Drosophila melanogaster: one gene and its partner. Changing the gene in region 1 together with any one later gene gives a genetic interaction. Each region holds a gene or a part of one and is shown on either strand. Other genes may lie near its edges.

Region 1 (4,731 bases):
TGTTTACTGTAATAATTCAGCCGTGCACAAATTTTGACCTGCTATAATAATGCGAACATCCATACAGCGGATCATCTGTGATTTGCAGATGGGGCATGTCTTGTTACGCTGCAAGTAATGTAGTATGCAATTCGCTCCAAAAAGGTGACCGCATTTAATTGAAACTGGGCGATGGTCTCCGGTAACCTCATAATTCCATTTGCAAATGTAGCACTTGTTCTCTTCGGCGATCTTCTTTCGTTTCATAGACAGGTTCTCCGCTTGATTCGCAATCGCGTCCTGCGCCGCTAGCCTCAGTCGCAACTCCTTCGTTATGTTCTTCTCCTTGTCCAGTTGCAGTCGCAGATCAATTAAACGCTTTTTGGACTCGAAACTATCCTTGATGATTTCGTCCTTTTCTTTGTTCCGTTTTCGCTGCTTAATGACCTCAACGATGAGTTTTTTCTTGGTCATCTTTGTAATATCTTGTTTATCCATCTCGTTTTCGATGTGAACGATTCGCAAATATTACAGTCGAGTTTTATTTTGAAATGGATTTTTTTTTTGACAGCTGTAAATATGTTGGCTGTGTTGGAAAATGCAACACACAACTAATTCTAATGATTACAAGAAAAAATAATTTTGTTCAATCTAGGCAGTCCACGCTTAAACCTTCACTGAGAAGACATTCGTTCTAAAAGTGCTTGTCTAAAAAATTCGTTCACCTTGTAATTTTAATTTCTTTACAATATGCCCAATAACAAAGCCCAGACTCGCTCGTTGATGAGGATGCTGAAGAAGGATGTTGTTGAGCAGCTCTTAGCGGAAAGGAAAAAAAGTGAGCAAAAGGACAAGCAACTGGCGAAGCTAAATATTACAACTCAAGAGAAGGATAAAATGCGCGAGGAGGAACTCAAGCTATATTACCAAATGGAAGAAGAGATAACCAATCAGAAATTATTGCAAGAGCAGTTGTTGTTCGAGTCCAAGGACGAATTAACACAGCAGCTTGAGAAGATTGCCATCGAAAATACTTGCTGCATATGCCTGGATCCTTGGGAAGCGAAGGATCATCACCGCTTGGTTTCGCTTAGATGTGGTCACCTTTTTGGGGAGATGTGCATCCGGACCCACTTGCAGCATGCCGATATGTGCCCAATATGCCGCAAAGTAGCTATTGAAAGAGACGTCTGGCGTGTGTTATTAAACACGCCATAAAATTATTTTCTATAAATACGATGTTCTAGCTATAATATAGTGCGTTGATAAGCGCGATCGATTTAATCGATAAACATAAATTTTAATACCTCGATTATATTTCCGACTATATTCCAATTTTTTCATATTTAGGAGGGGATACAATTGAATAATTACCAAATGGTTTGGGAAACATGCATTTGCAACAATAAATTAATATAAAAAAATTCATTTAAGGATATATTGAATTCTACAGCACTAACATTCCTTTCGCATTTAATTTATTAAAATAGATAAATATTTTGTTTACCCTATGATATCAAGTATTTTTCTTTCTATTTGTAGAACTGCATCCAATATAAATTCGGTTTTCTAAACGACGTTTAAGCCGTTTATTTACATGTTACAGAAGCTTATATATAAAAAGTGATTGATTTTTTGGTTCTAATAATTGCATTCCCCGTTGGTTCCTCCTTCATTCATTGAATTGGTTTCCAAATTGGACTGGTGATTCCACTTCCTGGTCGTAACTCTCCGCAAGCTGTTTGTAAGGTACTTCGAGGTATTTCTCCGACTTTGACGCCTTGATCTCGCCCTGCTTCTTGCTGCTGTCCAAATCTGAAGCGGCAGATTCATAAAGGCTGAAGGAACTGATTGAACTATTGGCAGTATGATACGAACTACTGGAACTGGAATTCTTCGTTCGGGGAATCTTGCGTGGTTTAAAAAATTCGGGGTCTGTGATGAGGGGAAATTGTTTCCGTCCGTTTCTTATAATTTTAATGGGTCCTTCTGGTGGTTTTACTTCGGGCAGAACGGGCAGCGAATCTGTTGCCATGGACATCATTCCGAAGTGACGCATCATGGCTAACGCCTCTAGCTCATTTGTGCTTTCATCCTCCCAATCTTTCATAGTGGCGTGCTCGCCCAGCGGCCTTGTGCCTGCTATCTTCTGTATGTTCTCCATTAGCTGAAGGCTTTGCCGAATATCACGACCAGTTCCGCCTCTGCTTCCATGGATATTTTCGAGCTCGGAATTCCTCTTTTCCCGGGACTTCAGATATTCATATGTGCATTTCGGTCGCGGCCAAAACTCCCCTTGCTTCTTCATGTCGTAGGCCAGTTGACCATGGACAAAATTGAAATCCGGCTCCATGTCGACCAGATCATCCTCGAACTGCGAATTGGGAACCCATGCCATGATCGTGCGTTGTCTTAGGCGAAATTTATTTGTTAATTTTCTGACATCAGACATAACCTAAAACTCACCTAACAAAAAATACTCCGAGAACTCGCCATGAAAACAATTGAACAGCTACACTGTCAACAAGTTCTCAGAATCTGAGACTGAATGTTTACTCCGTTATTTTCAAAGAATAGTTTCAGTGCGACCATTCACCATTGAGCACGGAAATGCCGTAAGAATTATTAAGGCTGTGGTGAATTTAAGTGCACCGGTGTGCGGTGAATCTTTTGCACACCGGTGCGTGGTCAAGGTGAATAATATTGCGCCAAAAAGTTAAACAAAAGGTTAAGGAAGGGGGAGCGGGGTGCAGCAAGCAAGTCATTAAATAAACAAAGGGTAATGCCCCACGAATCAGCATATATACATTCCTAATTTATGCACCACTATTCCAACTCACCAGCAGCGTCTTTTCCGGCCAGCGCGTTTTACTGTTGTTGCTACGTCTACACAAATTTGGGATTCTCGATTTGGATTATTAAACTTTTTTAATTCACTGCTTTGCAAGACACTATAACAGCGACCGTGCTCTTATTCACACTTGGAGTAACTGAAATGCAAAAAATTCCGCAAACGCTGCTAAAATATACTTTAGTTTGCGATAGGGCTGGAGCAAAACTGGATGCACAGTGCAAGCTATCGATTTCTCCAGTAAATCGCTGATATCGATGGTTATCCGTTTCGGATCCCAAGTATCGATCGTCGAAAATCACAAGGCACATAAATTTGTGATTTCAGTATTTAGCTGATTTTATTTGTATTTAGCTTAAAATCATTACAGTATTTAGCTGTTAATATTAAATACACTTTTTTAAATATGATTATTATCCGGTACTATAAATAGTCATATTTAAAATAATATATAATTATTGACTAATTGTTTTTAATTTTCATTGAATTTATTTTTTCTTCAATAATCGATCGTAGTGTAGACATTTTCAACACACAATTTATTGAATAACACAATTCCTAAAATATACTCGTTACTCGTAGAGTAAAAGGGTATACTAGATTCGTTGAAAAGTATGTAACATGCAGAAGAAAGCGTTTCCGACTATATAAAGTGTATATATTTATATATAAGTATATATTCTTGATCAGAATCAATAGCCGAGTCGATCTAGTCATGTCCGTCTGTCCGTATGAACGACGAGATATCAGAAACTTTAAAAGCTAGAAGGTTGAGATTTAGCATACATATTCTAGAGATAAAGACGCAGCGGAACCCATGTTGCGACGCCCACAAACCGCACAAAACTGACACGCCCATATTTAAAAAAAAAATTGTTGGATATTTTTCATAATTTTATTAGTCGCTTAAATTTCTATCGATTTGCCAAAAAACTTTTTGCCACGCCCATTCCAACGCCCTAAAGCCGCCAAACCGGTCACGCCCACACGTTTGAATTTTTTTTAAATTTTTTCACATTATACAATATTTATTAATATCCCAGAGGATTAAATTTCGCGTTCGCATTCACACTAGCTGAGTAACGGTTATATGATAGTCGGGGATCTCGACTATAGTATTCTTTCTTTTTTAAACTACTCCTATACTTGTTTTTGGGCTTAAATTAAAGGTTAATTAACTAGTTTTAAAGTACTTGGGATTTTCTTAATTCGTTTACTTTACACTTTAAATAGTAAACAACTTAATGGTATTCTTATACAAATACCAAAGGGATGATACATTTTTTATCATCAAGTTTGACTTAACGTGCCCTGTTTAGAGTACATGTCCTTGATTATCTGCATGCGAGTCATTCGAGTCGCGCACAGCCAGGAGTCCTTAATTTGAAATGCCTCGAACTGCTTGCGATCTTCCTTGAAGGGTTTGTAGTAAATGTCATAGATGATGCGCAGGATGCGTTGCACATTCTCCTGCGACGGCTTCTTTGAGTGCTTTGCAAATGTTTGGTTCTTTTGCATCTTTGTGTACTTGCCATCATCCCACCAATCTGGAAAATCTGTATCTGCATCGCCAGCTTTAAGGTCCTTCTTGAGTTCCGCTTTGGGACTTATGTGATGTACAGCCTTTAGTGATAAAAACATTGTTAGGAAAAGTTCGTTTTTTTCGTTTATAGTTCTTTCTTACATCCGGCGTACTCCAACTCCAAGCCAGATCGGTCAGCGATGATTGTTTTATTTTAACTGGTTCCTCTCCGCTCAGCATTGGCACAAGAAACTCATCCTGCTGATCTTCTTCGGCAAGGGACATGGCCAACTCATCGTCTAATTCGTCCATTTGCTGCTGGACAGAAATTGAAGTGCTCTTTATGGGCAGCTCCAATTTTGTTGGAGCTCCCGGCGGT
Region 2 (4,217 bases), on another chromosome or scaffold:
ATTGAAAAATACAATTTATTATAAATTGTTGTTTTTAGTGCCCAACTAGAATTGGGTTAGACAAAGCGACGATTGAGGCGGAATTCTTTAACAGGTTGTTTTGCGATTTATAGTTCAATTCACAAAAGGTCACTTAGTGAACTGATTTTTTGTCCTTAAAATCATATTGGTCATCTTATGTGTAGGCCAGCTTTTCAGAATTTGAATATCTAGTTTTATCCCACATACTGGTGGGTGTTAATATTTCTATTTCTATGTGGATATTTTAAGAGTGTTCCCTAGTAGCTAAATGATATACATCTGAGACTTTTAATTAATTAATTGCTGATTTCATGGTTTTAGTACAGAAAACCATGTGCTAAGATGTTTTTAAGCAACATCCTGAATCTATAACAATTGCGTTAAACTTTTTCATTCTGTTAAGAAGCTTTAAAGTTGAAATATTTTGAGCTCGATGCAACCAAATAATTCCTTAAATTTTGGAGGCACCGGATAAAAACATTTTGATCAACTTTTGTGTGTGAAAAATTAATTATCACCACGTGGCAACACTGTCAACGTGCTTTGATGCCATTTTTTCCCACTCGTTTTTGCCCAGAACTCCCCTCTTTTTTGTATGTTTTGTGGATGTCCAAACATTTTTTATGCTGTTTTGTTGTGTTTCTGTACTTTTTTTTTTTGCTTTTTGGAATACGCAACGGACAGACACACACATAGGGCCACACACGTATTTGAACACACACAGTCAGAGGCGAATCAGAAAAAGTACAAAAAAGCATTTTGGGAAAAGTGGAGTGAGGAGTGAGGCAGGGGATTGCATGGGCTTATTGCGATGCGTGACTCGTATTTGTGGACTTTGAATACAAACAAAACAGTCGGACACAGATAGAAGCCCACACAAGTGCAATTATGAATACTACGCCCACACACACGCCGCATAATCACAGAGAGAGACACTCTCACTCACTGCAATGTGTGCATTTCAATACGCATTAATAACTACGAATTCAATGTGGCAGTGGCAACCATCCTTAGTATTTCAGCCCAAAGCTCACACACACCTAAACCCACACCCTCAAATGCTCACGCACACATAGGCACACCGGCGTCAATGCAGCTGACGCCTAAAAAACGACTACAAAAAAGCATAAAAATCCAATTCCCCGCCTTGCTCGTTAATTTTGCTGGCGCTGCTCTTCAATTCACAGCCCAAAACTGAAAAGTGCCATGATAATTTTGTTTTTACTCTATCCAAACTTTAAAATCGCATAAAAATCAATGCCAATGATGCCATTAAATCAACAGACAGATCCATGTTTCGTTTTCCACAAAAGTTCCAAGCTCGAAGTCCCTTTAAATTCTAATTTTTGTGTTTTTTTAGCAGCACGTTTACTCAACATTTTCGCTTTCTGACGTTCCGGCCTCACATGAACTGCAGCATTTTTTCGTGCTACATTTTTGCTGGTTGCATTCTATGTCTGGTGGCCGCAAAACGGTTTTCCATGAATTTTTCATCCATTTAGCGGCGCCATTGAGCCATTTTCTGGGCGCTTAGAATTCATAGATACTTTAGCAAATTGTTTTTTTAGTTCGATTTTCTACATTCTTTTTGTTTTTAGGGATTTTTAGCTTTTGTATCGTGACATTGAATCTCGGTGTGATTGATTGTCTTTAACGATTTAATTGAATCGAAAATATAAAAAGATCACCACTGACTTGTTTATATGAAGAAGACAGGGCAAATATCTGTTATTGTTAGGCACAAAAAATGTTTATAATAATTTGATTCACTTTTTTTTTGTATTGAAAACAGCATTTTTGATATTTCTTAGTAACACCTTAGTCGCCCATTAAATTTCTGCGGAGCACCCTAGATGTGTGTATGAATTATCCAGAAATATTTACAAATGTACGACCCACAGTAGGCACTCTCTATGGGTGATCGAATTTTTGTGCTGCCAGAACTATTTAAGCTATCAGCTTTCACCCGATTCCAAATAAACCGTAAGAGTAAATAAACATTTCGGTCGAGTATTCGGAGAAGCGAGCCGATAACTTCTGCGTAGCTGACTCAAGCCGAAGTGGCCTCTCTTCGGAAATTGCCAACTGACCAGAACAGCTGAATCAATTCGCCAACTTTATGATTAGTGGCTCTGGGAGTCGGACGCCCTCAAATCGACTTTATTTGTCGCCCGTTCGCCCCACGATGCAGAACAAACGGAGGCTTCTGCGGGAGTACAGGTCCTACGATGACCTCAGCGAGCACTACCGCATGTTTGGATCGCAGTCCCTGGACTCGCTGCAGGATCGCGTGGACATGAATCCCAGTGGCTGCGATGGCTTATCCACGGACGGACTCGACTTCTGCTCGCAGTCCCACTCGGGGCTGCTGAGGGAGCACAATTTCAAGATTAAGTCCTACTACTACAACGTGGGGAACTGCGTACACTGCCGCAAAAGGTGAGTTGCAATCACCGAATGGTGGAACTTCTGAGAGGATTTCGAATTCAGGGAAAACATGAAAAGTTAAATAACATCCCAACCCTCTCTGACCAGCATTTACCTCCCTAACCGCGTGTCCCTGGTCTTCTTCCAGGATCCGCTTCGCCATGGCCAGCCTGAGGTGTCGGGCGTGTCCGCTCCGCTGCCACATCGGTTGCTGCCGCCAGCTGACGGTGAACTGCATCCCCCAGCCTCAAATCGGTACGAAGAGAGGATGTCTCAGCGATTATGCGCCTCGGGTGGCGCCCATGGTGCCGGCCTTAATTGTCCATTGTGTAACGGAGATCGAGGCGCGGGGATTGCAGCAGGAGGGACTCTACCGGGTGTCCTCCACCCGAGAGAAATGCAAACGACTGCGTCGGAAGCTGCTGCGTGGCAAGTCCACGCCGCATTTGGGCAATAAAGACACCCACACACTGTGCTGTTGTGTTAAGGACTTTCTTCGGCAGTTGGTTCACCCTCTGATTCCCATTTACCACCGAAGGGATTTCGAGGAGGCCACGCGGCACGAAGATCGTCTGGCTGTGGAGATGGCGGTATATTTAGCGGTTCTGGAGCTGCATCAGGCTCACAGGGATACGTTGGCCTACTTAATGCTTCACTGGCAGAAAATTGCCGAAAGTCCTGCTGTCCGCATGACGGTCAACAATCTTGCCGTGATCTTCGCTCCAACTCTGTTCGGAGATCTGGATCTAACCCTCGAAAATGTCGTCACTTGGCAGCGGGTGCTGAAGGTGCTACTTCTGATGCCTGCCGGATTTTGGTCTCAGTTCTTGGAGGTCCATCCCCTTCCCACTTCGTTGGGCAGCACCTATGACTTTGAGGACCGGTACAATCACCGTCACTGGGACAGCTCGTCCAATCTGGGATGGTCTTCTGTTAAGACCTACTTTAGATCAATGGTAAGACCTATGGTTTCCCTTTAACGGATTTGGATAGAATTTCATATTCGAATAAGCCAAACTCAATACAAGCAATCAAACATATCATACAAATCTTTCACTGAATACTTCCTGTTTCAGGTCAACCTTAGCAGTACTCACCTATAGTGAAAGTCTTATGACTGAGACATCGAGAATGGATGCAGTCACCCTTTTTTATTTTATTTTGTATTTTTTTTCATTATTCACTACAGTTGAAGAACTAATAATAATTGGATCTCTAACATGTTGTGTATGTGTTGTTGAATTATATGCGGCTAACAAGAGTACTTGACATCTCAAGTGCAATACTTGATTTATTGAATCACCAAAAGATACTCTCAGAAAACACCCATTATTTCCATATATGAAATTCGGCTAATTAAATATAAAGCCAGGCCAAAATCTTATTCGCACCACATAAATAATCTAGCATGGCCCAGAGCGACGTTATCGCAAAACTATATATTTCGAGTATTGAAACATTAATAAACATTTTTAATTGAATTTGCAATTTTTTTCGCCGAACGTTGATTAATTCCCAACCGTTGAAAACATGTAAAAAATTAATAATTTCCATTTCCCATATTTATGTTTCTTTGAAGCGTAAACCAAAGCACAAAGTAAAATATTTTGCCGCGAACACATATAAATAAGTTAAAGCGCCAAGAAAAAAGTTAGCATTTTAAAAACAATTTGGAGAGTGCCGTGCAAAAAAGTGCGGCCATTAAATGCAAAAAACAAGCAAAGCAAAACAAAACTCGAATGCACTGGACGAGTGCATAAATAGACTCA

What was found. A genetic interaction does not mean that the proteins touch.
Region 2: of grp (region 1) and RacGAP84C, changing one enhances a phenotype caused by changing the other (phenotypic enhancement), as found in Drosophila melanogaster (one study listed by BioGRID).

Annotation. Positions count from the first base shown.
Region 1 is NT_033779.5:16,678,365-16,683,095, reverse strand, and holds the start of grp (grapes), read right to left. Parts: upstream 3,043-4,731; 5' UTR 2,820-3,042; intron 2,647-2,819; exon of another isoform or gene 2,446-2,646; intron 2,391-2,445; exon of another isoform or gene 2,378-2,390; coding exon of another isoform or gene 1,652-2,377; exon of another isoform or gene 1,443-1,651; intron 1,278-1,442; exon of another isoform or gene 1,198-1,277; coding exon of another isoform or gene 730-1,197; exon of another isoform or gene 694-729; intron 594-693; exon of another isoform or gene 478-593; coding exon of another isoform or gene 4-477; exon of another isoform or gene 1-3. Other genes in the region: CG33552 (uncharacterized protein), read right to left, coding at 4-477; CG31807 (uncharacterized protein), read left to right, coding at 730-1,197; squ (squash), read right to left, coding at 1,652-2,377; her (hermaphrodite), read right to left, coding at 4,121-4,453, 4,515-4,731. UniProt on the Drosophila melanogaster protein: Serine/threonine-protein kinase which is required for checkpoint-mediated cell cycle arrest and activation of DNA repair in response to the presence of DNA damage or unreplicated DNA.
Region 2 is NT_033777.3:7,283,965-7,288,181, forward strand, and holds RacGAP84C (Rac GTPase activating protein at 84C), read left to right. Parts: upstream 1-1,997; 5' UTR 1,998-2,140; coding exon 2,141-2,460; intron 2,461-2,596; coding exon 2,597-3,404; coding exon of another isoform or gene 3,405-3,428; exon of another isoform or gene 3,429-3,487; intron 3,488-3,524; coding exon 3,525-3,551; 3' UTR 3,552-3,665; downstream 3,666-4,217.